4 linked regions of the Schizosaccharomyces pombe genome follow. The main gene of each other region encodes a partner of the protein of the gene in region 2 in a complex. Each region holds a gene or a part of one and is shown on either strand. Other genes may lie near its edges. The genes, in order: snr1, mrp2, rsm23 and rsm27.

What was found.
Region 1: mrp2 (region 2) and snr1 share a complex: the UniProt entries of both Schizosaccharomyces pombe proteins name them as parts of the mitochondrial small ribosomal subunit.
Region 3: mrp2 (region 2) and rsm23 share a complex: the UniProt entries of both Schizosaccharomyces pombe proteins name them as parts of the mitochondrial small ribosomal subunit.
Region 4: mrp2 (region 2) and rsm27 share a complex: the UniProt entries of both Schizosaccharomyces pombe proteins name them as parts of the mitochondrial small ribosomal subunit.

Annotation. Positions count from the first base shown.
Region 1 is NC_003423.3:2,977,937-2,985,233, reverse strand, and holds snr1 (mitochondrial 37S ribosomal protein mS47 ), read right to left. Parts: upstream 4,233-7,297; 5' UTR 4,173-4,232; coding exon 2,883-4,172; 3' UTR 2,794-2,882; downstream 1-2,793. Other genes in the region: nucleosome assembly protein Nap2, read left to right, coding at 1-525; fib1 (fibrillarin, rRNA and histone methyltransferase), read left to right, coding at 1,553-2,470; yml6 (mitochondrial 54S ribosomal protein uL4m), read left to right, coding at 4,788-5,573; mmp1 (endopeptidase catalytic subunit), read left to right, coding at 5,765-5,892, 5,936-6,062, 6,110-6,328; MBF transcription factor activator Rep1, read right to left, coding at 6,650-7,297. UniProt on the Schizosaccharomyces pombe protein: Component of the mitochondrial ribosome (mitoribosome), a dedicated translation machinery responsible for the synthesis of mitochondrial genome-encoded proteins, including at least some of the essential transmembrane subunits of the mitochondrial respiratory chain.
Region 2 is NC_003424.3:2,502,010-2,508,762, forward strand, and holds mrp2 (mitochondrial 37S ribosomal protein uS14m), read right to left. Parts: upstream 3,876-6,753; 5' UTR 3,836-3,875; coding exon 3,581-3,835; exon of another isoform or gene 3,532-3,580; coding exon 3,485-3,531; exon of another isoform or gene 3,444-3,484; coding exon 3,428-3,443; 3' UTR 3,256-3,427; downstream 1-3,255. Other genes in the region: AP-3 adaptor complex subunit Apl6, read left to right, coding at 968-1,948, 1,999-3,255; mitotic spindle checkpoint WD repeat protein Bub3, read right to left, coding at 4,290-4,930, 4,976-5,297; threonine aldolase Gly1, read right to left, coding at 5,904-6,753. UniProt on the Schizosaccharomyces pombe protein: Component of the mitochondrial ribosome (mitoribosome), a dedicated translation machinery responsible for the synthesis of mitochondrial genome-encoded proteins, including at least some of the essential transmembrane subunits of the mitochondrial respiratory chain.
Region 3 is NC_003423.3:2,064,032-2,071,372, forward strand, and holds rsm23 (mitochondrial 37S ribosomal protein mS29), read right to left. Parts: upstream 3,960-7,341; 5' UTR 3,908-3,959; coding exon 2,477-3,907; 3' UTR 2,156-2,476; downstream 1-2,155. Other genes in the region: telomerase reverse transcriptase 1 protein Trt1, read right to left, coding at 1-124, 176-292, 333-602, 642-712, 752-1,144, 1,181-1,443, 1,495-1,613, 1,685-1,765 and 1 more; ribosome biogenesis protein Rrs1, read left to right, coding at 4,362-4,862; gef3 (RhoGEF for Cdc42/Rho3/Rho4 (Gef3)), read left to right, coding at 6,355-7,260, 7,317-7,341. UniProt on the Schizosaccharomyces pombe protein: Component of the mitochondrial ribosome (mitoribosome), a dedicated translation machinery responsible for the synthesis of mitochondrial genome-encoded proteins, including at least some of the essential transmembrane subunits of the mitochondrial respiratory chain.
Region 4 is NC_003423.3:3,066,839-3,075,262, reverse strand, and holds rsm27 (mitochondrial 37S ribosomal protein mS33), read right to left. Parts: upstream 3,010-8,424; 5' UTR 2,870-3,009; coding exon 2,634-2,869; intron 2,569-2,633; coding exon 2,531-2,568; intron 2,478-2,530; coding exon 2,470-2,477; 3' UTR 2,276-2,469; downstream 1-2,275. Other genes in the region: gpi1 (pig-Q), read left to right, coding at 314-2,275; pyruvate dehydrogenase e1 component beta subunit Pdb1, read right to left, coding at 3,620-4,720; SPOM_SPBC30D10.14 (dienelactone hydrolase family protein), read left to right, coding at 6,518-7,267; snoRNP assembly factor Naf1, read left to right, coding at 7,766-8,424. UniProt on the Schizosaccharomyces pombe protein: Component of the mitochondrial ribosome (mitoribosome), a dedicated translation machinery responsible for the synthesis of mitochondrial genome-encoded proteins, including at least some of the essential transmembrane subunits of the mitochondrial respiratory chain.

The sequences.
Region 1 (7,297 bases), on a different chromosome or scaffold from region 2:
GATGTTCATGGTTACAAACTAGAATTCGAATTTGACTCAAATGATTACTTTACAAACAAGATTTTAACGAAAACTTATTACTATAAAGATGATTTAAGTCCTTCGGGTGAGTTTTTGTATGATCATGCTGAGGGTGATAAGATTAATTGGATCAAGCCTGAAAAAAATTTAACGGTTAGAGTGGAGACAAAAAAACAACGTAACCGTAAAACAAATCAAACTAGATTGGTCCGTACTACGGTCCCTAATGACAGTTTTTTCAACTTTTTCTCACCTCCTCAGTTGGACGATGATGAATCTGATGATGGTTTGGATGACAAAACAGAGCTTTTAGAACTCGACTATCAATTGGGAGAAGTCTTTAAAGATCAAATCATACCCTTGGCAATTGACTGTTTCTTAGAAGAAGGTGACTTGAGCGATTTTAACCAAATGGATGAAGAAGACTCTGAAGACGCATATACTGATGAGGAGGATCTGTCTTCAGATGACGAAGAAATTTTGAGTAGCGAAATTAGTGATTGATATTTATATTGTGTTCGTTAGATTATGAGTAAGTTCAATGTGAGCAAAAATGAGAAATTGACGCTGAATGATAATTTCGCTTATAGTTTGGTAAGTTTATTGTGGCTTAAAAAATTAAAATGTTGATTTACGTCGTAGTATCCTATAAAATATTTAATAAGCGGATCTAAGTTAGGATTTGTCTTTAAAATTTCAATTTGTTTTCTTGTCTTTTTAAATTTTGAATTTTTTTTTCCAATGCAGGTATAAAAAATATACTAAGTAATTTTTTATCATTCTGTGAGTATATTCTACTTACATGGTTCCTTTTTTAATAGCTAGTATTAGGTTAGTACGCGCATTATTTGAAGCTGTGGTGTTATTTATTAGCATTTGCTTTTCTAAAATGATAATGCGGACAGCCAGCAAAAAGTAAGCGGCTATTACTATAACTATCTGCAATAGCTTTTTCTATTTATTTTATACGTCAAAGCTAGATCTGTTCGTACATTAATTAACAATCTTTAAGTGCATTGTTAGCTCACACCGAGTTTATATGATAAGGTATAAGAACTAGTACTAGGTTGGAAGAACTACAACTAATAACGGTTCTGACAATAAATCACTACCTCTTGTAACTCTAAGTTTAGTTACTTCGATTGTCAAAACGTAATTATTATATGAACACAAGTAGAGATGTCTATTCATTCTCTTCACCAATCTTTCAAAAGAATTATATTGAATACCTCTAATTTGTTGCTGAGACCTAAAACAATTGCTTTTCAAACAGCAGGAACCCATCTTTTGCTACATATGTTTACCTTACTAATGAGAAGTTATGAGCTGCAAATAATAACACTGCGATGCTACTAATGTCATTAAGTTAGCTTTAGCGTTGTTTACCTTCGTTAACTAGAGGTTTTACAGATTGTTTCGAACTCGTAAAAATTTTTAGCGTTGCAGAATTGTGTTCGTAGTCACACCAACTGTAATCCTCTCTGCTATCCTAAAAATTTTACAGACCCATTACCTACCACAAAAAAAAATAATGGCATATACACCAGGTTCAAGAGGTGGACGAGGTGGCTCTAGAGGAGGCCGTGGTGGTTTCAATGGTGGCCGTGGTGGTTTCGGCGGTGGCCGTGGAGGTGCCAGAGGAGGAGGACGCGGTGGTGCTCGTGGCGGTCGTGGCGGTCGTGGAGGTGCCAGAGGAGGCCGCGGTGGTTCTAGCGGTGGCCGTGGTGGAGCCAAAGGAGGTGCTAAAGTTATTATTGAGCCTCATCGTCATGCAGGTGTCTTCATTGCTCGCGGAAAAGAAGATTTGCTTGTCACCCGCAATCTGGTGCCTGGTGAATCAGTATACAATGAAAAACGTATTAGCGTTGATTCCCCAGATGGTACCAAAGTTGAATACCGTGTATGGAATCCTTTCCGTTCTAAACTTGCCGCAGGTATTTTGGGCGGTTTAGACAACATCTATATTAAACCTGGTGCACGTGTTTTATATCTTGGTGCTGCTAACGGTACATCCGTTTCTCACGTTGCTGATGTTGTTGGTCCTGAGGGTCTTGTCTACGCTGTTGAGTTTTCTCATCGTTCTGGACGTGATCTTCTTAACATGGCTAAAAAGCGCACGAATGTCATCCCCATTGTTGAGGATGCTCGCCATGTTCAAAAGTATCGTATGTTAGTCGGAATGGTTGACGTTGTTTTTGCAGACGTTGCTCAACCCGATCAGGCTCGTATCGTTGCTTTGAACGCCGCCGCCTTTTTGAAAAACGAAGGTGGAGTTGTTATCTCTGTTAAGGCTTCTTGTATTGATTCTACCGCTGATGCAGCTGTTGTTTTTGCTCGTGAGGTTAAGAAAATGCAAGAGGAAAAGATTAAACCTCAAGAACAACTTACTTTAGAGCCTTACGAACGTGATCACTGTATCATCGTAGGAAAATACTTGAGACATCAGTAAACAGAAATATATGCCATAAGTGCATGCTTTTTTAGTTTATCATATAATTTTTTTTGCTAGAAAAGCTTATGGTAAGGCCGTGAGCAATTGGAATAATAAAAATATATTTTGGGTATGCGTTTGGCAGTTTTGTCAATTATTTTCTCATTGTTTGATCCAATATGGGAATTATGGAATATATATTAATGCCGTTAGCATTCTTTTTTTTGAACTATCGTACGCACAGCTACCGAAAAAGAGTTTTAGTATGAGTATTTAAAATGGCTATCATTATTTTTAGCTGCTAAAAAGAGTTATGTGCTTTATCGCATGCTAAAACATAACAGGGTCTTTGAAATAAATCATCTTATTATAATACTGAAAAAACTTAGTAGACATAAAGAACAATATTTAATTTATGTAACCTTTGGGATTATAAATAAGGATAAGTCTTATAATTCCAAAGGGGAGTTTTACGTCTTCCTTTTGCAGCAAAAGATATCCCATTATTGTATTCTGAAGGCAACTTGAAATAGTTTTCTAAATCTTTAAAGTGATATTCATGGGATTTGCTCCATTTTGGATTTTTGGTCTTTGTAATAAGTTGAGCATTAACACCTTCAACAAAATCAGGCTGTTTAAGCATATAATAGGAAACGATATGATCATAGTAAAATGCTTCAGATATACTCCACTTAGCAGCAGACTTAATAAGTCGATTGGTAACAGCAATTGAAGTCGGAGATTTGCTATACAATGTTTTAACGGTAGATTTTGCAAATTCCGCTAAAGCACTAGTGTTTGAAGCATATTCTTTTAACGCACGAATAATATCAACGGTATCATTTTTGCAGAAGCATTTATTAATGACATCCATAACGTCTGGAGTAAAAGTGGGTGGTGAACTGCTAGCAAATTCGGCAAATTCCAGGATTGTATTATTGATTTTAGAAATATCAGACGTGTTTAACTCTGCAAGCCTGTCCTCCAAATGAGGAAACATATGCTTCGGAACGAAATGAGTTGCAATTCCAGTACGCAGGCAATCATATCCTTTTACGATTTGAGATGTCAATCCCAGATAAGTTCCAAAGTATCCTGGTAGTCTACTGAAGAAGAAACTGGCAGCCACGTCAGTAAAATAGCCAATTCCGGTTTCTGGCATAGCAAACATCGTATCTTCACACGCAATACGGAAAGGAACATGCATAGCCAAACCAGATCCACCTCCCATGGTGATGCCATTCATCAAAGCCACAACTGGTTTCTGGTATGTAGCTAACGTATGGCTTAATCGATACTCTTGAGCAAATGCATGGCGAACTTCAGGTAATTTTCCATCTTGTATTGAAAGTGCTGCAGCTTTAATGTCACCTCCCGAACTAAAAGAGCGACCATTTCCTTTAAGAATAATTACCTTGGCCAGATTTGATTCTTCTAATGAAACTAGCTTTGGTAGGATTGAATCTATCATGTCAACGTTGATAGCGTTCAATACTTTTGGCCTGTTTAAAGTAAATATCCTTGCTCCATTTTTACTCTCGTATAAAACTGTATCATTTGAGGAAGTGCTATAAAATTTTGGATTTCGAATAAACGCTCTAGACATGGTGCTACTTGCATTCAAAGAAAGGAAATTTGACACACTTGTTTTAAGTAAGGATTGCCTTAACATAAATCCAGATTTTTTCAAATCGTTAGAGATATTTAATTTCAATCCCATGAAAGCTAACCAAGTTAAATAACACCGATTATTTTTGCATAGACGGTTAACGTCTCTTCTACGTTACTTTATAACGAAGTGTGTTCTTAATTGTGAACTAATAACAAATCACAAAAGACCATTCGTAAAACAAAGTAGGTTTCCATGCATTAGCTGGGCAAATACTTGTCTCAAAAAATCTATATTTAGTATTAATTTAGTTTCTCAGGGTTTGTCGATTTTAAAAGTCTTAAACCACTTGTTGCATAGCATTGAGTACTCAAAACTGTTATTGTAATACACAGGTGCTATTTGCAACAACAATTTAAGGTGTCAGAATGAGCAAATTCCAAATATTTAATGTACGACATCACATAGTATAAATAATTATTTCTTCTATTTTAGGTAATGAATGAGATATCATTAATTTATCTAACAGTATACAGTCATAAAGTTCCTGTTGCATAAAACAACGTAATTTAATGAACTCGATACTTTACGCTTTACGATACTTTTGAATGCACAATATGTTATAATGAAATGCATTGTGATACTTAGTACATTGTGTTAGACTAATTGAAAGTAAAATACATCCATTCTTCAGGTACTAGTCGTCCATTTCACAAACTAATCAGAATGACAGCAAAAATGTTGCACTTGGTGCGATATAAATTTCCGTCGTTGGAGCCCGCGAGTCTTTTTCTTATTCCCGGAAGTTTCCTGCAAGAAAGATTTCGTCGAGATATTTTGCATCGTGCCGTTATTTATGAAGCAGATAATGACCGTCAAGGCACTGCTAGCTCAAAGCGCCGAAATGAAATTACTTGTTCCGGTCGAAAACTTTATCGACAAAAAGGTACAGGACATGCACGGGTAGGCGATGCCTCAAGTCCTATAAGAAGAGGTGGTGCTAAATCACATGGTCCTAAGCCTAGAGATTTCAGTACAAAATTACAAACCCAAGTTTATAATTTAGCAATGAGGATTGCGCTAAGTACAAGATTTATTAATAATGAACTGACCATCCTTGAAAATCCCATCAACTTAAGTCAACCAAAAACACGGATTTTGCTTGAAGTTTTGAAGCAACACAAGTTAGGACACGAGTACGGGAAGGCACTTTTTGTCCTTAACGATAATTACTTTGAAGATGAGTCCCTTAAAAATAATAATTTATTGCTTGCATCTAGACAGTTAGGCTACCATTGCTCCTTTATTCCTGTTGGTGAGTTTCAGGTTCGAGATGCACTAAAATTCGGTAAACTATTTATTGATTCTGAAGCCATGTCGTTAATTGTAGAGAAGTTTGCTCAACGAAATACACTAAGTGATATGGATCAACCTGCTTCCCTGACTGCTTATGTTGATGCAAATAGTAGTTCTTTTACGAAATCAAAACCTGAACCGTCTTTATCTCTATGATATGAAATAAACGCATATCTTTCAATTGTTTTTGAATTTCATGAATCTACATTTTCCGATTTTGGTAGTTACGGAAACATTATAATCCACAATCATTAATTCTTTTTTCAATCCTTTCTCTTGTCGTGTTTAAATTTTTTAATTTCGGCTTATTTAGTTTACTGTCTTGATTAGTTACCTCTTGGTTAACAATGGCTGGCATGTTCCGTATTCCTATTGCCGTCGTTCAGATTGCTGCATTTGTGCATCAAATTCATGAGTATCTTTTTCAAGTGCAAATGACATCGGGTCCAAGTATGATGCCAACATTAAATTCTGGGTATTGAAATAACGCTTTGTATTTATGGTTCTAACTTAAAAAGTGGTGAATTCGTTTTGTTAGATAAATTGCATGGTAGGTTTGCTCGTTCATGTTCTGTAGGAGATGTTGTTGTTTCGGCAAAACCTTCCGATTCAAAGCAACACGTGTGCAAACGAATCATTGGAATGGTGAGTATTTCACATGGAACGTTATCCTTTTTGTACTAATTTTATAGCCAGGAGATACAATTTATGTCGATCCCACCTCTTCAAATAAAAAAATAACTATACCTTTAGGTCATGTTTGGCTTGCAGGAGATAACATTGCTCACTCACTTGATAGTCGAAATTACGGACCTGTTCCAATGGGCCTTATTAAGGCTAAAGTTATAGCTCGTGTATGGCCACATCCCCACTGGATGTCTAACATTTTGAATGACATAGATGTGGAATAGGTATTATGAGCATTAAATATTATTCTACAACTCACTCTTGGCTCACCAGATGTTAATTGAAATGTATGAATTTATTAATATTTTTATGTTAGTTGGCAATTACTTGTTTGAAAAAAATGCTAATTCTAAAAACAAAAGAGAGACTTCAAAGATCGCCTCATAAACACTAATTAAAGATTAATAACTATGAAAAATTAAATTAAAGTACAAGATTAATGATAAGTAATAAAGCATGAAATAAATGTGTTTTAAATAAAGAATAAATCGTAGCAATCTCAGCTGCTGGACAATCAAATAGATGCAGCGAAACATGCTATAATCTTACCAATCACTGCAAAAACTCGAACCCAAAAATCCATCACCATCATCATAAAGACGATTTGGGGCAAACCCAAAGAGTCGCTCAACATGTGAACACGAGGACTCATGTTCCTGAAGTTTACTAATTGAAAGGAAAGGCTTCGTGCAGTAGCAACAAATGAATCGCGAGCGTGACAGTAAGGGACTACTGTGAAAAACTAAATCGGCATCATCAATATGCCTTCGTTTTGATGGGGGAGTAGAGAGCTCTGCTTTTGATGTTGATGTGTCATATTGCCTTTTACCTTTTAAAGCTTGCTTAGCTGCAATTCTGGCATCACATAATGTGCTATCACTATGACAAACACGCATAGGAATTCCACCGTAAGCAATTTCTTCATTTCCAAAATTACAGTCGGAAACATTAAGGGCCCGGCCTTCTTGTTGAAAAAATTTTGGTGTAACAGCAGGATATTGGATATCACCATTTAGGTTTGAGTAATTAAAGCCATTATTCCATGCCTGCATCCTAGTGTTTAATTGATCACAATTATTATCAGTACTCGTGACTGGACCATCGTTAGTATTCAATGCATAAACGTTGGGATCGAAAGGGAAAGCTGCTTTTATTTTTGGAGATGCTGAAGCAAAAGGTATGCTATCAAATTT
Region 2 (6,753 bases):
TAATAACACTGTGAGTGAAACAAATACCGACACTTGGTGTTGTTGGTTAAGTGTTAAATAGTATCTCGAAGATCTACTTCAAGAATTACCTTCTTCCTCTAGATAAATAAATCCTATATTTCAAAAGAACTGAAATATATTTCGGCGTTTTCAAGTGCAATCTTTAAAAATAACTATTTTCCCTAATCACAACTACACCTTGCAACAACAAGTTCTAGATAATTTATTTATTTTATCGACACAACGATAAAAATAAAGAAAAACAGCTATTTAATAAATTTATCCTCGGGGGAAAATGAAACTGCATTCTTTAAAATGTACAGCCTTACGAACTAAATATTAATACAATCTTTTAGTTGAGATAACTAATGCTTAGCTGAGTTTAAACACCAGCCTAATAAAACAAATACATAGTGATGATATAAAAAGGTAGCATTGAAAATAATACCGTTTGTCTCATGGCTGAACATTAATGCTAAAAGACAAGATAGTTATGAATAACCAAGACTATGATTTAAATAATTCACTGCTGCTATGCTCATTAAACAATAACTTGATGTATTGGTTTATCCCATTAATCATGTGAGCTTTAAAGTTCGTGATCTTTTTTGCCTTTTGTAAAAAAAAAAAAGCTTAAAGAGAAAAACATGAGGAAATTCACTTGAAACTGTTCGTAAGTTACTATTTAAATAATTTAATATGCAATGTACTTAAAGTAATTTGGATGAAGAAATGCACTGATGGTGTTTAGTAGCGAAACACCACTAGTGAGGTATGTATAATGTTTTAGCACATATCAACCAAGCAACTGCCAAGGTTCATTGAAAATCCGTGCGCGGCAGTATAAATCCTTGGATTTGCATTTTTTATTAAATTAATATTTTTATTAGGAGTGGTTTCATTTTTTAGCTCTTTGAGTGCATCCACTGCTATTACACGCCGATTTCCTTACGTTGGCCTACTTCAAATGTCTAATCTATCGTTCTTTCAGACTTTAAGCGGGCTTGCGGAAAATGCAAAGCAGATAGCAAAAAGCTCGAGTCTTTCTTTCGAAGAAAATGAGCTTTCCCACTCCGATTTATTACGCCTCTTGAACTCCAACTCTGATGCTGGCAAATTAGAGGCGATTAACTTCATTTTAGCTCAAATGATGCACGGCGAAAATATGTCGTTATACTTCCCAGATGTTGTGAAGTTAGTTGCTTCAGAAAATCCGGAAATACGACGCCTGGTCCATATTTATTTACTCCAGTATGCTGAGTTCAATCCAGATCTTGCTTTGCTGTCTGTTAATACTGTTCAAAAAACACTGTATGATAAAAACCCGTTAACTAGATCTACCGCAATTAGAGTTATGAGCAGTATCAGGGTGCCTGCCATTAATGGAATCGTTCTTTTAGCAATTCAGCAATGCATTACTGATACAGCTGATCGCGTTCGCCAAAGTGCGGCATTGGCAATTACAAAGTGCTATTCTCTTGACCCTTCATATAAATCGCAATTGGAAGAGCACATCAAAACGCTTTTATCTGATAATAGTCCTATTGTAGTCCCAGCTGCATTATTTACTTTTGAAGTCGTTTGTCCTGAGAAATTAGAAATTATTCATCCATATTATCATAGGATATGTACTCTTTTCCCGCAAATGAATGACTGGGACAAAGTAGTGGCTTTGAAAACATTGGTTAGATATGCCAGACTTACATTACCCGAGCCTTCAACTCCTTCAACACATTCAGATTTAAAGGAACTACTTGAGTCAATAAAGTCTTGCTTTTTCTCTCTTCTTCCGAGTACTATTATAGCAGGTGCTCGTGCTTTTTACTATCTAGCTCCTTCAAATCAAATGCACTTAATCGTTGAACCATTGTTGCAGCTTTTGCTCGAAAAGCCAATTGTTAGGACGACAACTTTACGATATATTTCTCAAATTGTATATAAAACACCGGTAAGTATATATCATTGCCCTGTATTTAAACGACTCTAACATGATATTAGGAATTATTTAAAAACCATATAAAGAGTTTCTTTCTAATTGCTTCTGACAGTGACGATACGTGCCTTTTAAAAATCAACATATTGTCGCGTTTATTGGATGCTCAAAATTCATCGCAAATCCTTCCCGAATTATTGTATTACATTAACAGTCATCCGAATCCTTCTGTTGCATCAACGGCGGTAAAGGCATTGGGTGATTTTGCTAGTGCTAACATTTCTATGGCCCCCTCTTGTCTTAACACTTTATTGCTGTTACTTAAATCACATAATAGCCTTATCGTGACAGAAGCTGCCTCTTCACTTCGGCTTCTCATTCATAATGATCCTAAAGAAATATATCTGCAGTATTTAGCTGCAACGTATGAAACTTTGGAAGTACCGCGGGCCAAATCCGTTACACTATGGCTTATTTCGGAGCATATACTAATCATACCGCGACTAGTCCCTGATGTGCTACGCATTGCTGTTAAAACTTTTGCTGATGAGACATTAGAAGTGAAGTATCAAATTCTCGAATTATCGGTAAGACTATATGTTTTGTCTCATTCTGAAGAGAAGCAAAACGATTTAGAGTCAAGAGATGATGTCGTGTCACTACTTTTTAATTATGTTTTATCTTTGATACACTTTGACATGAGTTACGATTTACGAGATAGAGCTAGGTTTTACAAAGAACTAGCTAGTACACCGAGTTCTGAATTTACTAGGCGCATCGTATTGGAAAGCAAGGGGAATAGTCAAAAAGAAATTATTGCTTCTCGGGACTACTGCATTGGTACCGCTAGTTTATGTTTGAATGAAGACGTGATGGGATATGAGCCAATCCCTAACTGGGCTGATGTCTCTGATTTACCGCCTGATTCTGTCCGAGAAGGTATCAAGGATGTTTTGCCAATAAACCCTCATACGGGAAATATTTATTCAAACAATTCACCGGGTGTGAAAGCATTATCTTCTGATAACTTTAAACGTGATTTTGGAGATACTAACGCAATTAACCGTCCAAAATTTGTTGGCCAGCAAACGCTTGAAGAATTTTATGCTAGTGAAACTTCTGAAAGTTCTGAAGGAGAATATGAAACATCAACCAGTGAAAGTGAAGATGAAGAAACGGATGATACTTCTCAAGAGGAAGACAACGAAAAAAATAGTACACCTGATGAAGATACAGAGAACAACAATACCAGTTCTATATCTACTAAAAGTATAATGGATAGGCCGCTCACAGAACCTGAACCTAACTATTGGCAATCATAAACAATTGATAATGTAAATATTCAGTTTTGGAATGTAATCATGCAAATAATTGTACTTCATTTAAACGGCGAATAAATATTAGCTAATAATAAACATGATGGATTCACGGAAGATAATTAAAGCTTTTTATTTCAATAACGCTTATCATGGATTGAAATACAAACAACGATTATTACCATGATGCCTTGCTGAATGGATTAGTGACAAAAGTAAAAATGCTTATTCTTACCGAACTCCGGGTAATTTATTAGCTAGTGCTTTAAGTCGAAAAGGAAACTGAAATAGTCAGCATCAAAAATGCATTTATATGACATTATAATCGTACCCTTGCAAGTCCAAACGCACGAAATACACCTCGGCCTCTACCTGTCTCAATACAGCGATTTTTTATTTTTGTAGGATGTGCATTAGTCGGTAAAGCCTCAATCCGCTTTTTGGCTTCTAAACGCACCCGAAGAGGTAGCTCAGGATTTCTATATATATAGAGATTGCTTTGACGTTCAACTTCGTGTTCAGCAAAAAGTCTCCTACATAATAAATCACGAAATGCTTTATGCTTCAGGTGGCCCAAAGCCCTCATATTTTTTATTTCTGGTTTAGAAGGCTTCTCTGTTGTGTTCAAATTGTGAGTGTATTCTCAGTAGATGAAATAGTCAAAATAAATTACGAACTGCGCTAGCGATCTGTATAATTATAGTTATTTTAATAACTATAAACAATGTGAATAAGAGAAACAAAGTAAATTAGATAATTTCTACCAAATAGTGTCACATTGTTTTTATATTAAGTATTTTTAATCGTAACCCGTTCTTTATATAAATATGGTCTTGCGTTTATATTAATTGCTTATTAACTTAATATATATAGTGGAATAAAAAATAATAAATACCGTAATTATCACTTTGAAGCACTGAGGAAATATTGAACATTTACAACATTAAATAGGAGTGCTTCAAATAATATAAATTTCATATGTATGCAGTAAAAGAATCTGCATAAGATTTTACATGGATGAAGCTTTTTGATGAGCGATTTCATGACTTTAACTTTGGAGCTGCAAAGTTGGATTCCAAAGCATGAACATAGATATTACCAGCGGCTTCTTCTTGAGCACAAGTGGCAATTGCAAGCATGCTTCCGTCAACATTAAAAGAAATAGATGATATATTGATCTTTGAAGGATTTAACACTCTTAATCGTTTTCGGACTTGTATATCCCAAAACGCAACAACGCCATCTCCCCCAGCAGTTGCCAATGTTTGATGAATCGGATGAAATTTTAGGTCGTTAACTGGATAAACAATATCGTAGTCCTTTTGTATCTGCCGATGGCATTTAAAGGTAAAATTTTTGCTTTGCGCTTCCTGAGACGGGTTAATATATTCAACAGATGTCCTTCCCTCAATGCTGGAAGAAACGAATCCCTCAAAATTTTGGTTACAGCAAACACTTCGAGTCATATACTTAAAACTAGAAGGACGTCGCTGAAATGGAAGTTTTAAATTTCGAATATCGTACACCAAATTTTCTCTTTCTGAACAGCCTAGAACCAATATATTATCTCTCGAGCTACTTGCAAAAATTTTTTTTCCTATATCCTGTCCCTCGACAGGTTGCTTTACGCGAACATCCCAAACACGAAATGATTTGTCCCAAGACCCACTAATGAAACAGTCTAAAATGTTAATAGAATAGCTGGCTAATAAAATATATATCTTACTTTCCAAACGCAACTTAGAAATGCACGATACCCCCTTACCGTGGTTTCCTAAAAACTCATGGTTTCGCGTATTAAGATCGAGGGTAGTAACTGTCCCATCTAAATTTCCTACTAAAGCAGTTTTTTCATCTGTATATTCTAAAGAAAGAATAGGACTTGATAAATCGTATTTCCCTAAAAGTTCGGGATTTTCCGAGATTTGATAATGCAGTAAGCTACCATCCCAGCACCCTGCAATTAGTTCGTTTTTGACAGAGGGTGAAAATATTACACTTGAAATCCCGTCTTTTGAATTTTTTAGTAATGTTTTTGAGAAATTCATGGCAGACTGACAGATGACATGAAAAAGGAGTTTGGCGAGGTATAGGCCTTTAAATGTTGCTTCAAAAGGACAACGTCGAAGTTCGATGGTAATTGACCGAATTTTACGAAGATGAATTTCCAACGATGCCGATTATATTAGGTGTTAAACATAAATACTTACGTTTTCATACGCGCAAATTACTGTTTCAGCTTCTTTTCAACAAATTTTGACAGTCTGTGCCTCACAAGTATCTAAGATAAGCGAAGCGAATTGCTAATAGCTGTGTAAAATAAATTGCAAAGGAGCTGATTCTGACAGTTTAAATATGATGTAACAACCGTTATATAAGACATAACTATGAATACGTTTCAACACAACTACGTTCTACTAAATACCACTCTAAAGCGATGAAAAAAAATCATAAAAGAAAGAAATGCACATAACTCTACATACTCATACAAAAAACTGAAAGGCAATAGTAGATGTCAGTCAACTTTGACAAGTGAATGTACTACTGTAAAAATAATTTGAGCGTCGACGAGAAAATTTGCCTAGTTGATAAAGCAGAAAGAAGATTTAAATAGAAAATAAAGCTTAGAGTTTAGGTGACATGTGCAAAATCCCTTAATAGCCGACACAAAACTCACCAGGTTTGGCAACAATATGGGTTTCAACTGCTTGACGCTCAACTGTGCGACGTAAAACGTTCTTCAAAATCTCGACAGCATCAGGAGTGATCTGAATATGAAACACGATACGAGGTCCCATTAAAATGATTCCAGACTTTTTGGCTTCATCGCAAAGAATAGCAACGTTGATATTGGCCAATGTCACCATGTTACTTTGAGTGGGAACTTCAAGCTCAATTCCAAGAGATTCTGCGTATTCGGCGACTTCAATAGCATATTTATGGACCTGCTTCAACAAAGGAAAGTTATGCTGAATTGAGTATAATCCTGCAGCAGCAAGCATACCAGATTGTCTCAATCCACCACCATAAGCCTTACGGAACCATTTGGCTTTAGCAATAAAGTCTCGTGGTCCCACAATAATGCTACCAACAGGAGCCGCAAGACCTTTGCTTAGGCAAAGACTAACGGAATCAAAGTAAGAGCAGTACTCCTTAATTGAAACGTTGGAAGCAACAGCAGCATCCCATAAGCGAGCACCGTCGCAATGCAGGGGGATCTTGTGAGCCTTAGCTAAACCAGATATACGAGCCACTTCATCCAATGGAACGACAGCACCTTTAATAGTATTTTCTAAACAAATCAACCCAGTGGGTGAAAAGTGAATATCATTTCCCAGGATAAGCTTGTTCTCAATTTCCTCGGCAGTAATATATACATTATTTTTTGGAGAAATAGGACGAACAATAGCTTGCGTAAACAAACCAATTGCACCCGCTTCCCAGTTATAAATATGGGCGCGATCATCACAAATGATACTATGAGGAGGTTGATGCAAATGACTA
Region 3 (7,341 bases), on a different chromosome or scaffold from region 2:
TCATGTAAACCTCCAAGTTAAATGGAATACCACTACTTTCTTCATTGATTAAATGTTTCAGTATCGATGCCACAGGTCGTAAAGTTTGGTTCGTACTGACTAACATTTTTTTGTTTGAACCCATCTGCTAATAATAGATTAGAAGTAAAGTACATTGATGACCAAAAATTAATACCTTTATTAAGAATCTTTTTCTTAAATTCGTAATGAGACGAAAGGTATTCTTCTTAGGTAATAGACGAATAACTGCTGGAGGCAAAGTAGTTTTCTGAGTATCCATCCTAACATTGTTCTGAAAATATTAGCTTTTTGCAAAAAATACTTTAAAATACCTCGTTTATTTTTTCAAACGCTTCCATTTTCATTGATGTAATAAAGGGTCGGCACAAGAGTTTCCAAATATCTTTTCTAAAATAAACAGTTCGATTTCGTAAATCACTTGATTCAGTGATATAAAAAAAAGATTGTAAAATAGGTATTATAAACGAATTGTATAGCCAGTAGATGAATTCCGCAAATATTTGCTTGCGTTTCTCAAAATCACTTAAGCACATTTTCGCATTTGACCTTTTTCCAAGGACTAGCCATTCAATTTCTGAAATCTGATTGTTAATTAATGGTAAAAAAATTTGGCATATTACCTTTATGTTACTCATTAAATAATGTAAACTAAAAGACTCGTATCTCGATAATTTCAAGAAAGTTTCGAGGTCTGGTAAAATCGTTAGTGGTAATAAATTTTATACAATACCTTTTAATATTATCTCAAATATCCTTTGGTTACCCCAGATTAATTTAGGAAACACTCGAACAAGAATGGATCGAAGAAACGCAAACACCTGGTTCGGCTTTAAGGAATAACTAAGGATTTTTTCATCATCGTGGGTGTCAATATATGGGCAATAATGGTTGTAAACTTTTGATAGAGAAATACGATGGAGTCGCTTTGCTGTTTGTTCAATTAAAGGGTATACCTTTAGGAGACGTTTGGGCACAACTGTACTCTGTGATACCAGTGGAATCACTTTGTGCAATTGCTTCACTTGAAATGCGTTTATAAGTCCAAATTGCCTTGGAAAAATCCATTGAAGCCACATGTGTACTGTGTTCCGATCACAAATAGAGTGTAAGTTAAAATATAGATCTAAAATTAGTTATGAAGGATAACAGTATTAGTTACCTTGCTTAAACTTCTTATAGGATGACCTGTAAAAAATGCTAAACCTACTAATTGAAATGCTATTCCAGGAAACTTCTTTGCGGGCGCTTTTATTTTGAGTAATGGATGTTTCAATGGTTCGCTTTCTTTTTTTTGACACAGTTTCCTCAAACACATTATTTTTAAAAAGTGGTATGCCAGAAATCTGAAGGTAATTGTCATTTGGAAGAGCCTCAAAAATACTTCCTTTGGATAATAAGTAATGCATGGCATCACTGCCGATACTATACTTGTCAGTCTTGTTCAAAGTGCGCAACATCTTAACCGGTATTTACATTTCTAACAAAAGTTGCCAATTTTTTGACTCAAGTATAGATATAAGGTAATTAGGAAAAGTAGAAACGAGATCATTTTGTACTCCGTTTACATGCATGGCTCGAAAATCTTCATGATTCTTTATCGGTTAAATACAATCTCTTTGAAACAGTAATTGCAGGTAAATATTTCACAATTAGAATACCTTACCATGGAAAACCCTTTCATCAGTAGATTCCTTCGACGCTCAAAACTTTCATCGAACATCTGTTTTACAACATTCGCTATTAGCTGCCCATATATTAGCTATCCCGAATAGAAAAAAATCAAAACAAAAATATATATACCTCTGACTGTGAGCATTTTGGAGAAGAAAATTGAACACCTTCATCTGGCTTACTGTCGAAGCCGACTACAGTCGAATGAAGAAAAATAGAAAAGGACGTTTGTACATCGCTTCTCAAGCGTTCGCATATATTGCTATACGAGCTTGCCGGCGACCCTCTCAAAACAAGTTGTACATAATCATTTAAGGTACATAGGTATACATATTGATTCTCTAGAAAGCGAAGAATCCTGCTTTTGGGGGTATGGTGTTCGGTCATGCAAGTTACAAGTAACCATTAAGCATAACTATATATATGCAAAGTGTCCTACTGATCATAACGTTTTAAATAAATAGTGACCGCAAATATTGATTAATATTTATAATTATAGGATTTTTTTTATATAATGATAGCTAATAAATGTTTTGCAAAGTATCTTTAAACTAATAACATTACACGAGTAGAATCACCAATCTTTCTACTACTATCAATTATAAGCGAAACTAATTTAGATTATTCATTAGGGGGAATAGTGAAAAAGGTACGATTCCAGGAGTAAAACGGAAAAAAGCCTAATACGAGATGATACATATTTGGAACAACATGAGAATAGAAAATAGAAAAATAAAACCGCGTTAAAGGAGTTGTAGTGGATAGAAATTTTTGAATATCTCAATCATGCTAGACGTGTGCAAGCATCAAAAAACTTTCGCGGATTACCACCACTAAGGACATGATTTTGCAAATAATTATCAACCTTTTCAAGGCAAACGTTGGATGATACCAAATACTCCATCATGCGACGTGACTCATCTAAAGTGTAAGGCTCCATGTTAAGAATATGCACGGACTGTAATGAATCTAATATAGTCTCATCAGAAGATTTGTAAGGATTTCTGTGAGCTACTCCAAGAGCTATATCCAATGACGGGGTAGAAACACGCGGTTGGCTAGAAGTAGCAGCTAAAACAGTACCACGATTAAAAGTAAGCGAACCCGAAATATATTTGAAAAGTAAATTAATAAAGTAAAAGTCTTTAGGGGGAAGGAAGTTGTTCTTTTTGTCCTTATACTTGGTAACGACCGATAAAATAGAAATATTATCGATCACTAATAACACCTTCATATTGGAATTTGACTTGGTATTGTTATTGAGTTCTTGTAAAAATATTTCCAGAGATTTAGGAGCGTTCGAGGAAGCAATTAGCTTATGAAGAAAGGAAAGTAAATCGGTACCAGCAGGAATGCATTCGTTCTGAAGCAACTCATGACTTTCAAAGGTCTTTAGCTTCTTAAGTTTATCAGAATTAGTTTTCATAACAGAAGTTAGAAATCCCTTAATTAAATCTGGTTGCACCCACAACTTGAGTTGCTCATCATAACCATAACTACTCGTTGAATTTACCCATCCTTCGCAGTTATGGACTGGCAAGACTATAAAATTAGGTTGTGATAAGGCGAAAAGTTCAGCTTGTATGAGAGCAATACTTCTTCCTGAACCTGGAGCACCATCAAGAAGAAAACGTCCGTCCTTCGTACCCTGGTCTTTGGAGCGCTGCAGTACATTCACTAATTCAGTTGTAATTTTCCTGTGCAAAAGGGAAGCACTGGTAAAAAAGGAGAAACTTTTTTTTTGTTTTTCTAAAGCCCCAAATCCATTAAGTTTATTAAGCAATTCCTCGGGGATTTTAAACATCTTACCTTCAGACTTGCTGGACCAAGACATATGCGGATGAATTTCAGAGGGCTTCACCTCTTCTAAAGTATTTTCTCCTTCATTTAAGAGATGATCCAATACAACGCTACTATTGGGAATAGTCGTCGATTTCTCTACTGACGAAGTTGAGGGGGGAATTTCATTAATTCTTGGCGCTTCCGAATTTTTTTGACGCTGCTGGTTAGAGCTTGAATGTATATTTCCTCCAACAGGTCTACCCGTATGCTGGTATTGTGAGGATGAATAGTATTTGTTAAATGTGCATTTTTCAAAAGTGTAGAGTCCTCCCAGTTTACTACCGCAAACAGTCAGTTTTCCACCGGACAGGATATTAGAAATTCTCTCTGTATTCTTAATAATACTACTTCTGCTTCTAAACTTCGGTAGCATTTTGTTAGAGGTATTTTTTTCTCGTAAATCTTAAGTATACATATCTGTTCTCACGTAAATGAAGAGACTGACTGCTTCCGGATGGTAAGTATTTACTGAGCTCTTAGCGCATTGCTAATATTTTTTAATAGGGTAGATTTGGCGTTCAGTAATAAAGAGAACTAACGTATTGCTAATAAGTGTCTCTACTTTTGCAAAAACTAAAGAATCGTAAAAGTTTTCTTACTTTCTTCGTTTGTCATAAAGAAAGTAAAAACAGTAGATTGCTGAACTGAAAGAGAGCTTTTTCTCTTATATATTCAGTAGTTTGATAAAAATTTTGGAGTTTGAAAGAAGAATTTCGTATCCTGAACCAACTTTTTAACAAATCAATTTTGCAGTCTTTTTTGAGAACTTTTTGTCACTTAATTGTATTATCAACCCTTTTTTTTTCCTTGTCCCTATTTCGTTAATCATGTCTGCACAAATAGAAAACTCCATTCCTCTAGATTTCGATTTGGGAAATATGGCTGCATTTGATATTTCTCCCTTAGATGAAACTAAGCTTAGCGGTTCAGAGAAAGAATCATTCCTTTTTTCTCTCAGTAGAGATAACGTTCAACAATTGGTGAACAAAATGATTTCCTTGCCTAAGGAGCGTACATCAGATGGCGTCCTTTTACAGCTTCCTGAAACTGTTACACCTCTTCCTCGTGCTAAACCTTTACCTAAACCCAAGCCCGAAACCAAATGGCAACGGTTTGCTCGTATTAAAGGTATTGCTCCTAAGAAGCGGGAAGGCAGGTTGGTGTTTGATGAAGCATCTGGTGAATGGGTACCAAAATGGGGTTATAAGGGTAAAAATAAGGAATTAGAGACACAATGGCTTGTTGAAGAGGGAGAAAAGGAAAAGAAGCTTACTTCCAAGCAAGTGAGAAATACCTCAAAAAAAATCAAGCGCTCTCGTCGCCATTAATTGGTCCTGCTTAAAAAAAATTTTTCTTAATTTAAAAATTTACTATAATTTAGCTATTCATGGGTTAAGTGGTATAATATCATTTTTATTTTGTTATTATCGTTTGTTTTTGTTTGCTACAACTAAAATCCCTTCTTCAATTGGGATATCAACGGGTACAGAAGGAATATGTAAGACATCGGTTATGTGGCTGCTTTGTTTACACATTTTTATGTGTTAAAAATTAACGAGCACTTTTTTGAAGCTGCTACTCGAAAATCGAACGTTAAAATGTTGAATGTTTACGAGTTAAGTGTAAAGTAAGTTTTAACAGCAACTGTTTTGATACACTGTGGGATTTCCTCCAATTGAATTTTCTAATAACCTCTTGTAAAAAAAGTTTCATACAGTTAAAATGCGACCATATCGTAGTTAATTATTATTTTCTGTATGCAGTCTTAAAAGGCTGGAACATCATATTAAGAGCCCAACTCATGGCTAACTGATATGCAACATTTTTGAAATGTTCAACAAACAGAATTTCATCAGACTCAACAATAACAATCCTTTCTAAATTACTATATAGATTGCAACATCAGTCTAAATATCTGAATGCATTAGTGGTGTAGCGGTAACATTGGAGCTTCCCATGCTCTAGCTCCGGGTTCGACTCCCGGCTGATGCAAATATAGCTGTGAATTTTTAAAAATATAATTGTTTATGTTCTAAAATTGGTTTTTGCATTTTCTATGAATGATATACTCAATCAAAACATATCCTTTTGAGTGGTAAACATAAATTTTTAGTAGATTATATAAATAAATGTGCAAGCCATACTTCAATTTCTAATCATTTTTAAACCGAGTGTATAATAAGTTTTCTAATACTGACTTGTTTATTTAAATATTTAACATAATAATTAATTTTGATATGAGATTGATGCTTTTAGTAGTAATAATAAAAAAAATTTAAAAAATGCAAATAAATAGAAAAAAAATTAAAGAAAAACTCATTAATCCAAAAAAAAGCTTACCAATATTATCATTTGTTTCTCGGTTGGCTACTTCGTCGATTTTATGGTGTATATCATTAATTTTCTAAGTATTGTTTACGTTCGATATTTTAAGCAAATACTTAATGCATCCCCAAAGACCACTAGTTAGTTTTAAAAAATAAGAAAAGAAAATAATTTATGTACAAATAACTTTGCTTATGTTGATAAAGTACAATATCATTGTAGTCATTCTTTCAAAAGCGGAATTCTTTCCTATATCCACTAAGGTAACCTGGTTATTCTTGCCGTCCGCAACAACAAAGAAAACAGCTATTCAACTATTTCATTGATAAAAGCGTTACTCTTTGGATTAAATTAGCATTGTATTTAAAGAAGAAATCGACTCATCAACGGCCTTGCTACTCTGTTTTAGCTTTGTGAGATCTAATCAAACGCGCTACGAACTCCTAAGTGCCCGCGTTTGAGTAGATAACTCATTGAATCAACAGCCGATTAAAGATGAGTAACCCAAGGATGTTCCAAAGCCGTGGAAAAAGAGTTGTTTCAGATAGCTTGCCTATAGCCAATTCGACACACACTTTAGAAGATACTTTGAAATTACGGCCTGACTGGACCATAGCGTTAAGTCAACATGAAACTGAAACAAGGTCGACAAGAACTAGTTGTAGCACTACCACAGAATCGACGATTGCTATGAGGAGTAAACAAAAAGCCATTATTTCTGTTCTGGAGGAATTTCGTGATTCAGAAGCCGCTTACGTTCATGATCTGCATGTAGCTCAACGGTACTATGCTGACCGATTATCGGACCGAGTAAAAAAAAGCGAATGGAAAGATGTGTTTGAGATTTTTCTGGTATTGTGCAAGCAAGCATCACTTTTCGAAATCGAAATGCACAAATCCTTGAACGACGAAATCAATTACATTTTGGATGATCAAGATGCCTGTTTGAAGCCTAAGCCTTCCGTTGCACAACTATTTCTTTCATGGTTGCCCAAGCTATCTGCTGTCTATGGTCGATACTGCGTGATTCAAGAAAACATTGGCAAAAAGGTGGAAAAATGGATGAAGAACTCATCAATCTCAGAATATTTGCAGGAATGTGATAGCATGGCAAAAATTGAAAGTAACTCTTGGAATTTAGATAGTTTTTTAGTAAAGCCTGTGCAGCGTTTTCTGAAGTATCCGCTTTTACTAAATCAGCTTTACCGATCTGCTTCACTGGGTATCATTTCCGACTATGTGTTGCTCGGGGAAGCTTGTCACAAATCTGAGATCGCTAGCCAAAGAATGAATGAGTTAAAAAGGAGACGAGATATTATAATTACAGCCCTGGATAGCGTCTCGAATTCCCAAGAGGTCTTACTTCTCTCCACAGATTCAATTGACAAGAAAATTGCAAAGGTACGTCGGGTTCAATGATTTTCTATCTTTAAATTTTTCGACTAATTGTTTTTTAGCTTCAAAATTCTACAAACATTTTCT
Region 4 (8,424 bases), on a different chromosome or scaffold from region 2:
GTTCCTTCATACGTACTACTGTTTACCGTTTTAGGATTTTTTATTTTCATTCTTTTAGAACGAATCGCTGAATCCGAAGCTCGTAACTCAACGTCAGTTAGCGGTGGCATTTCTGCAAGGGAACAGCTTTTACGTCGAGGAAGTTTTTGATTTTACAACTTGAGTTCTAAACACCGGAGAGAGCAGTATCATCTCCTGTTATATTTTTCTTAACAAAAGTTTTTTGTATGCTTCTAAAGTCTGTTATTACTTGTTTGTCTTTTTTATTAAACACTTCGGAATTGACTTCAGAGCATTCAATATTATATTTCAAATGTCTACCACAACCATGAATATAGCTTCGGCTCCAATTGAAGTGAAACGGATATATTGGCCCAAAAGTACGATCTCTTATACCGATTCTGGTTACTTAGTTGGTTGGAAGTACTCTACCAACGATCTTATCGTTGTGACAACAATTACTAGTTATCAATCCTTCGCTAATTTTTTAGTTGATTATTGCAAAAATCAAGATCAATCAGTAGATATTAAATCTCTGTGTATATTAGGCACGTTTAATTGCTCTGCCGATATTTTGCCGGGTGACAAATATGAAATTGATTGTTGGATCAAAGTGCAGCAATCGACTGAGCTTTCTCATCCCCGAGTTTTCGATTCGGCTAGTACGCCTTTAAAAATAAATCTGCATATAATTTATTATCATCCTCCGCAGCCAAGAAAAATGCAATTTCTTTCCCTTGAACCTCTATCGCTTTTATTGTTAAAAGATAGTTTTATTAACAAGTCAAACCCTGAATACGAAAGCATGCAACACCAGCAAATACTGTTAAAAAAATTGAAATTGCACTTTCCCCGACGCAAAGAAAATAGCTGGAAAAGGAGTCTACGCTCAGGCTTAATTGAGCTTCTTAATCAATCCTTCGAGGTTCGCATGTTAACACATGAAAATAATAACAAAAAAAATTCATATGTTTTTCGACTTTTTGATCGTGTCTCGTCATCAACCTTTTATTTTTTTAATTCGCTGTTTGCTTACTTTATCATATTATTGAGGATAATTAATGAGGTTATACTCTTGGCGATTAATTACCGACCGATTCCTTTATCTTATAATATGATGGATATTTTCGTTTCTGCTCGTCAAGTAGATTTGAGGTTGCAACAAGCGTGTTTTTGGCCTGTACAATATATGAAATTATGGGTTTTTCGGAAAAGCAAGCGCGTTGCGATAGAGGATTACAAAGAATATATTAGATTCTATAACAACCTTTGGTTGGTTGCGAATGACATGATCTTTGGGATTACAATGAGTTCATTTATTTTAGAGAATCTTCATCTGGTGGTAAAATTAATAGAAAATATCACATTCGAGTATGCGATAAAAAACGTTCGTTCTATGGTTATATGGCTCGTGGATACTCCTGCTGGATTAAAACTAAACAACGACATTTGCAAGTTTATTATGAAGCTTTCTGTATGGGTTATTGACGTATGGAGTAATTTTCTTTTGCATTGTTTGCCTTGGACTCCATTTTTGGTTCAAGTTGTCGCTATTTCTGGGTTTGGGGGTGCTAGTTTAATGATCGCTTTAATTTCTGATTTTTTAAGTGTTATGACTATTCATATACATTTGCTTTATTTGGCTTCATCACGTTTGTATAATTGGCAGCTACGTGTAATTTATAGTTTGCTGCAGCTTTTTCGAGGAAAAAAAAGAAACGTTTTACGAAATAGAATCGACTCATATGAGTATGATTTAGACCAACTACTTTTAGGAACAATCCTTTTTACGGTACTAATATTCTTCTTACCTACAATATATGTTTTCTATGCAGCATTTGCATTAACACGAGTATCCGTGATGACATGCTTGGCAATCTGTGAAACTATGTTAGCCTTCCTGAATCACTTCCCATTATTTGTTACAATGTTACGAATTAAAGATCCTTATAGAATACCAAGTGGGCTGAATTTTGAGATAGTCAGCTTTGAACCATTAAAACAAGACGGCTTCGCAACGCTATATCTCAATTGCAACTCCAAACCGATGTCTCTTGGATCCATGTTTGAGCATTATCGGAAACTGGCGCGTAGGTTAATTTCGCATTACCTTTCAAAAACTACTTTGATTAGTTTGCTCGTAGGTTGCCCAGTTCCAGCGATACCTGCTGAGCAACTCTACAATATCCAGTACGCTATGCTTCCGACCAAAAGAATATCTATTAGAAAACTGCGAGATCTTCTTTTTCATCAGAAAAAATTTCCTTACGACTGATCAAAATGTTAAGTATTGTTGCACACAGTTGATATATAATATTTTTTGTTTATGAAACAACAAAATTTTTATAATTAAACTTAGTTTATCAGTTTCGTTCAAAGCTGTTTAGCCGTTACCCATTTGATAATAATTGGAAAGAAAATGTGCGAAATGTAACCGCAAAGTATTAGAAAGGCACAATTTTCAATTATTTATTTTTCTAAACAGGAGTTAGAAGGTTCCTAATTCGGTTTTATAGTAAGCTTTACATACTTTTTGACTTGGAGGCTCCTTTTCCTTGGCGTATTCTCCTAGTATTTTAATTAGCTAATTTCTTGTGAAAGAAACATTCAATCTCAATTAACAACTAACATACCCTTTCCTGATTTCCATTCGCAATTCCTCATCACTATCGGGAAATGTTTTATCATTTAAAAGGGTCCTTAATTGACGATAATTGATAGTTGCGGGATAGTAGCTCTTCAGTTTTGCTCCCTTCAGCTCTTGTACTACAAATTTGCGACCCGTTCTCGAGTTGTTTGATTTATACTGAGTGCCAAATATTTTTGATGAGAGAATATTTAATTCTTCCAGGATTGCTTTGCTAGCCATGATTTTATACCAAAAATTAGGGAAGGCTCCTAGGGAATGTGGTTGCTTAAAGTTAAAGGCAAAACGAAATAAAAACAACAATAATAAGGCTAAAGACACTACTATGATTTCATCTGCAAGGATTCTGAAATTCTGTTATTGTAAGTATTATTAGCGCAAGTCTACTTAGATATACTACAGCGGATGATGTGGGATAAGTAGTTCATCAACCCCACATGGAAACATTTTGGTGCATTGACTAAAGATAGACCTGTAAATAGGTTTAGTGGGATCAAGTACTTAATATTCTACGCTTTAAGAGGTTACGAGTAGTTAAGTAGAGTATAATAGACACCAAATAGTTGAACATATTCATATAGCGTATTATTTCCATTAGCTGTAATATAATATAATTGAAGTTCACTGGCTTTCAGATTACGTTAAAAAACTTACACGAATTTAGTAATATATACAATATAACATATATTAAGGATAAACGAAGCAAAACTATCCTGAAAGGTAGATATACCAACCCGGATAACCAATTGGAAAGATGGTTGGAAAAATCATATCTTCGCAAATAATTGCAAAGAAATTAAAACCATCTAAGACCCACACACAATAATCTGAGTCATTAAAGACAAGCATCTTAGATATTTACACTTTGTAGATAATGTAAAAATAATAGAAAGCGAAATACGTAGATATCAACTATTCGGAAAAGGGAAAAGAGCGGGTTTTATTAAACAGATGACTCAACAATTGAGCTTGTTATTTAATATACAAGCATTTTTTAGCAGCAGCAACAACAACATCGGCATTTGGGACAGAAGCAGCCTCAACAGGATGACTATAAGGCATGGGAACATCTGCCATACTTACACGTTCAACAGGAGCATCAAGATAATCAAATGCGTCAGACTCCATAATTTGAGCAGCAATTTCACTACCAATACCATGTTGACTATATGCCTGGTCAACAGTCACAATACGATTTGTCTTCTTAACACTGGCCGCGATAGTATTGATGTCTAAAGGACGAATACTACGCAAGTTTATAACTTCAGCTTCAACACCATAGTCAGCCTTGAGCTTGTCAGCTGCTTCTAAAGCAGTAACAACAGAAATAGACTCACCAACGATGGTGATATCTTTACCGGGGCGCTCCACCTTAGCAAGGCCAAAGGGAAGCACAAAGTCCTCGCTCAACGCTTCTTTCGAAATTGGAAAGGTTTTACCATAAAGAATTTCGTTTTCAAGTACAACAACGGGATTAGGATCACGAATAGCAGCCTTCAACAAACCACGAGCATCTTCTGCTGAGTAAGGAGAAACTACTTTAAGACCAGGGATACTACCATACCATGGAGCAAAGTGTTGAGAATGCTGAGCAGCAACTGCAGCGGCAGGCCCATTAGGTCCACGGAAGACAATAGGACAAGCCTGAATACCACCAGACATGTACAGGGTTCTGGCGGCCGAGTTAACGATATGATCGATAGCCTGCATGGAAAAATTGAAAGTCATAAACTCACAAATAGGACGTAAACCAGCAAAAGCAGCACCTGTTGCCAAACCAGTAAAACCCATTTCAGTAATGGGAGTGTCGATAACACGTTTAGGACCAAACTTGTCTAATAAACCTCTAGATATCTTATAAGCACCATTGTATTGCGCAACCTCTTCGCCAATCAAGAAGACACGATCGTCACGTTTCATTTCTTCTTCCATTGCACTGTTCAAAGCATCACGAACGGTCATTTCCTTCACTCCATTGGAAGAAGAAGAATAGCGCTTTGCGATGGTTGAACTAAGAAGTTTCCAAGAACGACTGGTCCCAACAATTTCACCAAACTTTTGAAGACGAATCATTTTAAATTCCCTCAAACTTCTTTTTAACTTCGTTAAAAATTAGGGCTATCCCGCTGTGTTGTTGTATATGTGTAGTGGGCAAAGTAGAACAGTGTGATGGTAAAATATTTCGAGTTGGCTTATGGTACAACAAATTAAATACAGTACGTAGATGATTAACAAGAATACTACCACTTTTATAAATTTTGTGTTTATTGCAAATGACAAAAGAATGGTTAAACAGTCTGATATGATTATAACCTCTTAGTAGTATCATTTGTTTCATCTTATTTTTGCTAAATAGTGAAATGTGTACATACTGAAGCAGCTGCAATAACGTGCTTAACCGATAAAGATAATTTGTTATCACTAGATACGGTGCTCAAAATTGATTGCCGCAATAGATCGTTTGAACTCCTAAGGGCGATATCCGAAAAGCAGAGCATAAACACCGACAAAAAGGTGATGAACGAGAAGTTAAAACAGCCTAAAGTTGTGGTTCAAATTGATGCATAATTGCACGGATTATTGATTCCGGTGCATCAGTGACTATGAATTTTGAAGCCCTCAAATATACTTAAAGCATTACTTTATTTTCATAACAGTAAATTCATCACCATATGATTTGTACTAGCCATGTAGAGATAAAAGCTGCTTTGTATTATGATAAACTACATAATTCATTAGCGAAAATAAAAGTAAACAATTTCGTTAGCTTGACATGGAATTTTTTTTATTTAATGGTCAACAGCATTGAGTATAAACAAGCCTTGAACCAATGTATGGTTTCTGATGATTAAACCAACAACAGATTGAATAGTTATAGTTGGAAATTGATGAAAGAAAGTTCCTTTTTTAACTTCGGACTTTTTATTGACAGTATTATTTAAAAGTTATATTTAGTACACGCGTTATAAGGGTTTCTTTGGTACGCGAAGTCAAAAAATTATTTCTTGCATTATTAAAGATTGAAGATAGTTTTATAAGCTACAGACCAATATTTAATTTGCAGTTTTTCACATTTTCTAAAGACTTTAACAAAGGTAAGGCGTTTTTAGAGATAAATGTTCAGACATAAACTTTTCGACAAAAGTACATAGCTTAACTACTTAAAGTTTTCCTGGTTTTTTCCGCCTTTGACGTTCAATGAGACCGTAAATTCATAATTTGGCATGCTACAATCCTCTTTTTACAATAGATGCAAACCAACTGTTGTAGACTTTTAAACGATAATTAATGATTGCAATCCCAACTAATAAATGTATGTCCCGTGTATAGCATCTTTGGTAGGTATTGTGTCATAACTGCAAGTTTATTATTTCTCATCTAAACAAACCGACTCACAAACTTCTCAGAATATATGTTTGATGATAGAGGAAAAAAAGTTTACTTTGTATACTTGTTATGAATAGTCATACGCTGTATTTTTTTTTCTTTTTTTTTTGGATAACACTTATGAAGGACTAAAGCATGCGGCCGTAAGATATCATGGATACACAGTGTTTATGTGTAAGCATTAATAAAGAAAATAATCCGCTTTCAATTTTAATACTCGCGATACATTTTGCAATTAAAAAGGATGTATATTTTATTAATTATAGTCAGTGTTTATTTGATACATAATATTATTTTCCATGGAAATATAGAGAATATCGTTATAATATATGCAATGCCGATTTTTGACATAATGTGTATGATATGATATATATATACAGCCAACAGTACTGACGAAATTTCACCCAACTTACCATTTTATTGTGGTTTTTTAATAAACTTGTACAGTTACTTTTTGTACGAACCATTGATTAATTTAAGAAAATGGCCTCTTGCTGTCCAACAAGTCGTGGTGCCGCAGCTTCTAACAAGTCCTATACCTTTAAGGGTAAAGAAATTGAAAACTTTGGAGGATTGACCACCTATGTTGTTGGATCTACTTCCAATACCCGTGTTTTGATTGGTTTCATGGATATATTTGGTCTCTCTGATCAAATTAAAGAGGGTGCTGATAAATTGGCAGATGATGGCTTTACCGTCTACTTACCCGATTTCTTAGAGGGAAAGCCGTTGCCAGTTACTGCTTTACCCCCTAAGACGCCAGAGGACCAAAAGTTATGCAATGATTTTTTTTCTACTAGAATTTCTCCTAATTTGCACTGGCCGAAACTTGCTAAAGTTGTAGAAGCTGTGCGCGCTAACCATGGACCAAATGTTACTATTGGCACTTATGGATTTTGTTGGGGTGCTAAAGTTTTGGTCACTTATCCCGCTACAATTGATTTCGTTGGAATTGCTAGCTGTCACCCTTCCTTCCCTGATAGCGCTGATGCAGCCAATGTTCATTGTCCTGTATTGTTTCTTTGCTCTAAAGACGAAGATGCTAAAATCATCAAAGAATGGGAAGAAGCGTTCAAGACAAACCCCGCTTATGCCAAGTCTTCCTTCGAAACATTCAGCGACATGTTCCATGGTTGGATGGCTGCTCGCGCAGACCTTTCCAACCCCGAACAAAGGAAGCGCTTTGATGAAGGCTACCAAAAGGTTTCTTCATTTTTCCAATCTTTAATGTGAGTTTGATGTTTGTTAGATAGTCATGATTTGTTATCGCTATTGATTTTTTTTAATCCAATTATTAACTAATGACCTAAACTATTCGATACAGTAGCTGTACGCTTTACAATACAAACAGGTGAAGCTTCCAATATTCACTTAGGCTGTAACATATTTTGAGGTTTGCTCAACCTAGATGCCTTAGTACTGTTTCCTACAAATTTATATGTTTTTTAGGATCGTGAACAAAATAGCTTTTAAAATCAGTTAAAAATTTTAGCCACTGTTATTTTTTTGCGAGTAACTCTACGCTTCACTGCCTATGATATGTTGCATAGAGATGAATTCATTTTGTATTAGTTTTAATTCTAATATTTAGTTTTATTTCTATTTATGAATATAATGTTTTTATTGTATATAAATCAAATTTTATTATTTACGTCCTGCTAACTTAGTCTCAGTATATTCTGCCAAATCCCGTAATTGAAAGCACCGAAAACTTTTTCGAAAGGCGTTTTTATGTATCCGCATCTCCCTTGTAAAATACCAGGGCTTTCGTTGATTTATGATGATGAATCGAAAGTTGAAAAATCGAAGCAACTGTCTACAAACGCAAGTTCATCAAATTTTGTAAAAGAAGATCAAATTCCTTCAAATTTATCTATCGATAATATCAATACCCCACAGGGCGACCCAATCGATAAAAACAACTTGAATACTAATACTGAAAATAATCTACCGAACATAGTTAACTTTCAGAATATTTCTTCAGCGAATTCTGGCGAAATTAAGCAAAAAGATAATGAAATTTTATTTTCTTCAACAGAAGATATAAACCAACACAAGGAAAACTATCAAGATGAGAACAAAATCGACTTATTGGATGTTGCATTGGCTAACCCAAAGGATTGTGTTGTTCCATCATCAGGTTTGCTCATGCCAAAAGAGGAGTTCATTAGCAACGAAGAAGTTGGCATTCCAGCTACTAATTCATCCGAGAAATCCAATGTAAAAATCGCTGATGAAATTGCGGAGGTTACGCATAGTAACTCTTCTATTGGTAAATCGTCTGCTGATTTAAGTTCAGACTCATCTTCAGATTCAGAGAGTAATACTTCTTTTTCCGAAACTGATGTAGAAGAAGAGAAAGCAGAGGAAAAGTCTGATGCGGAATCGAT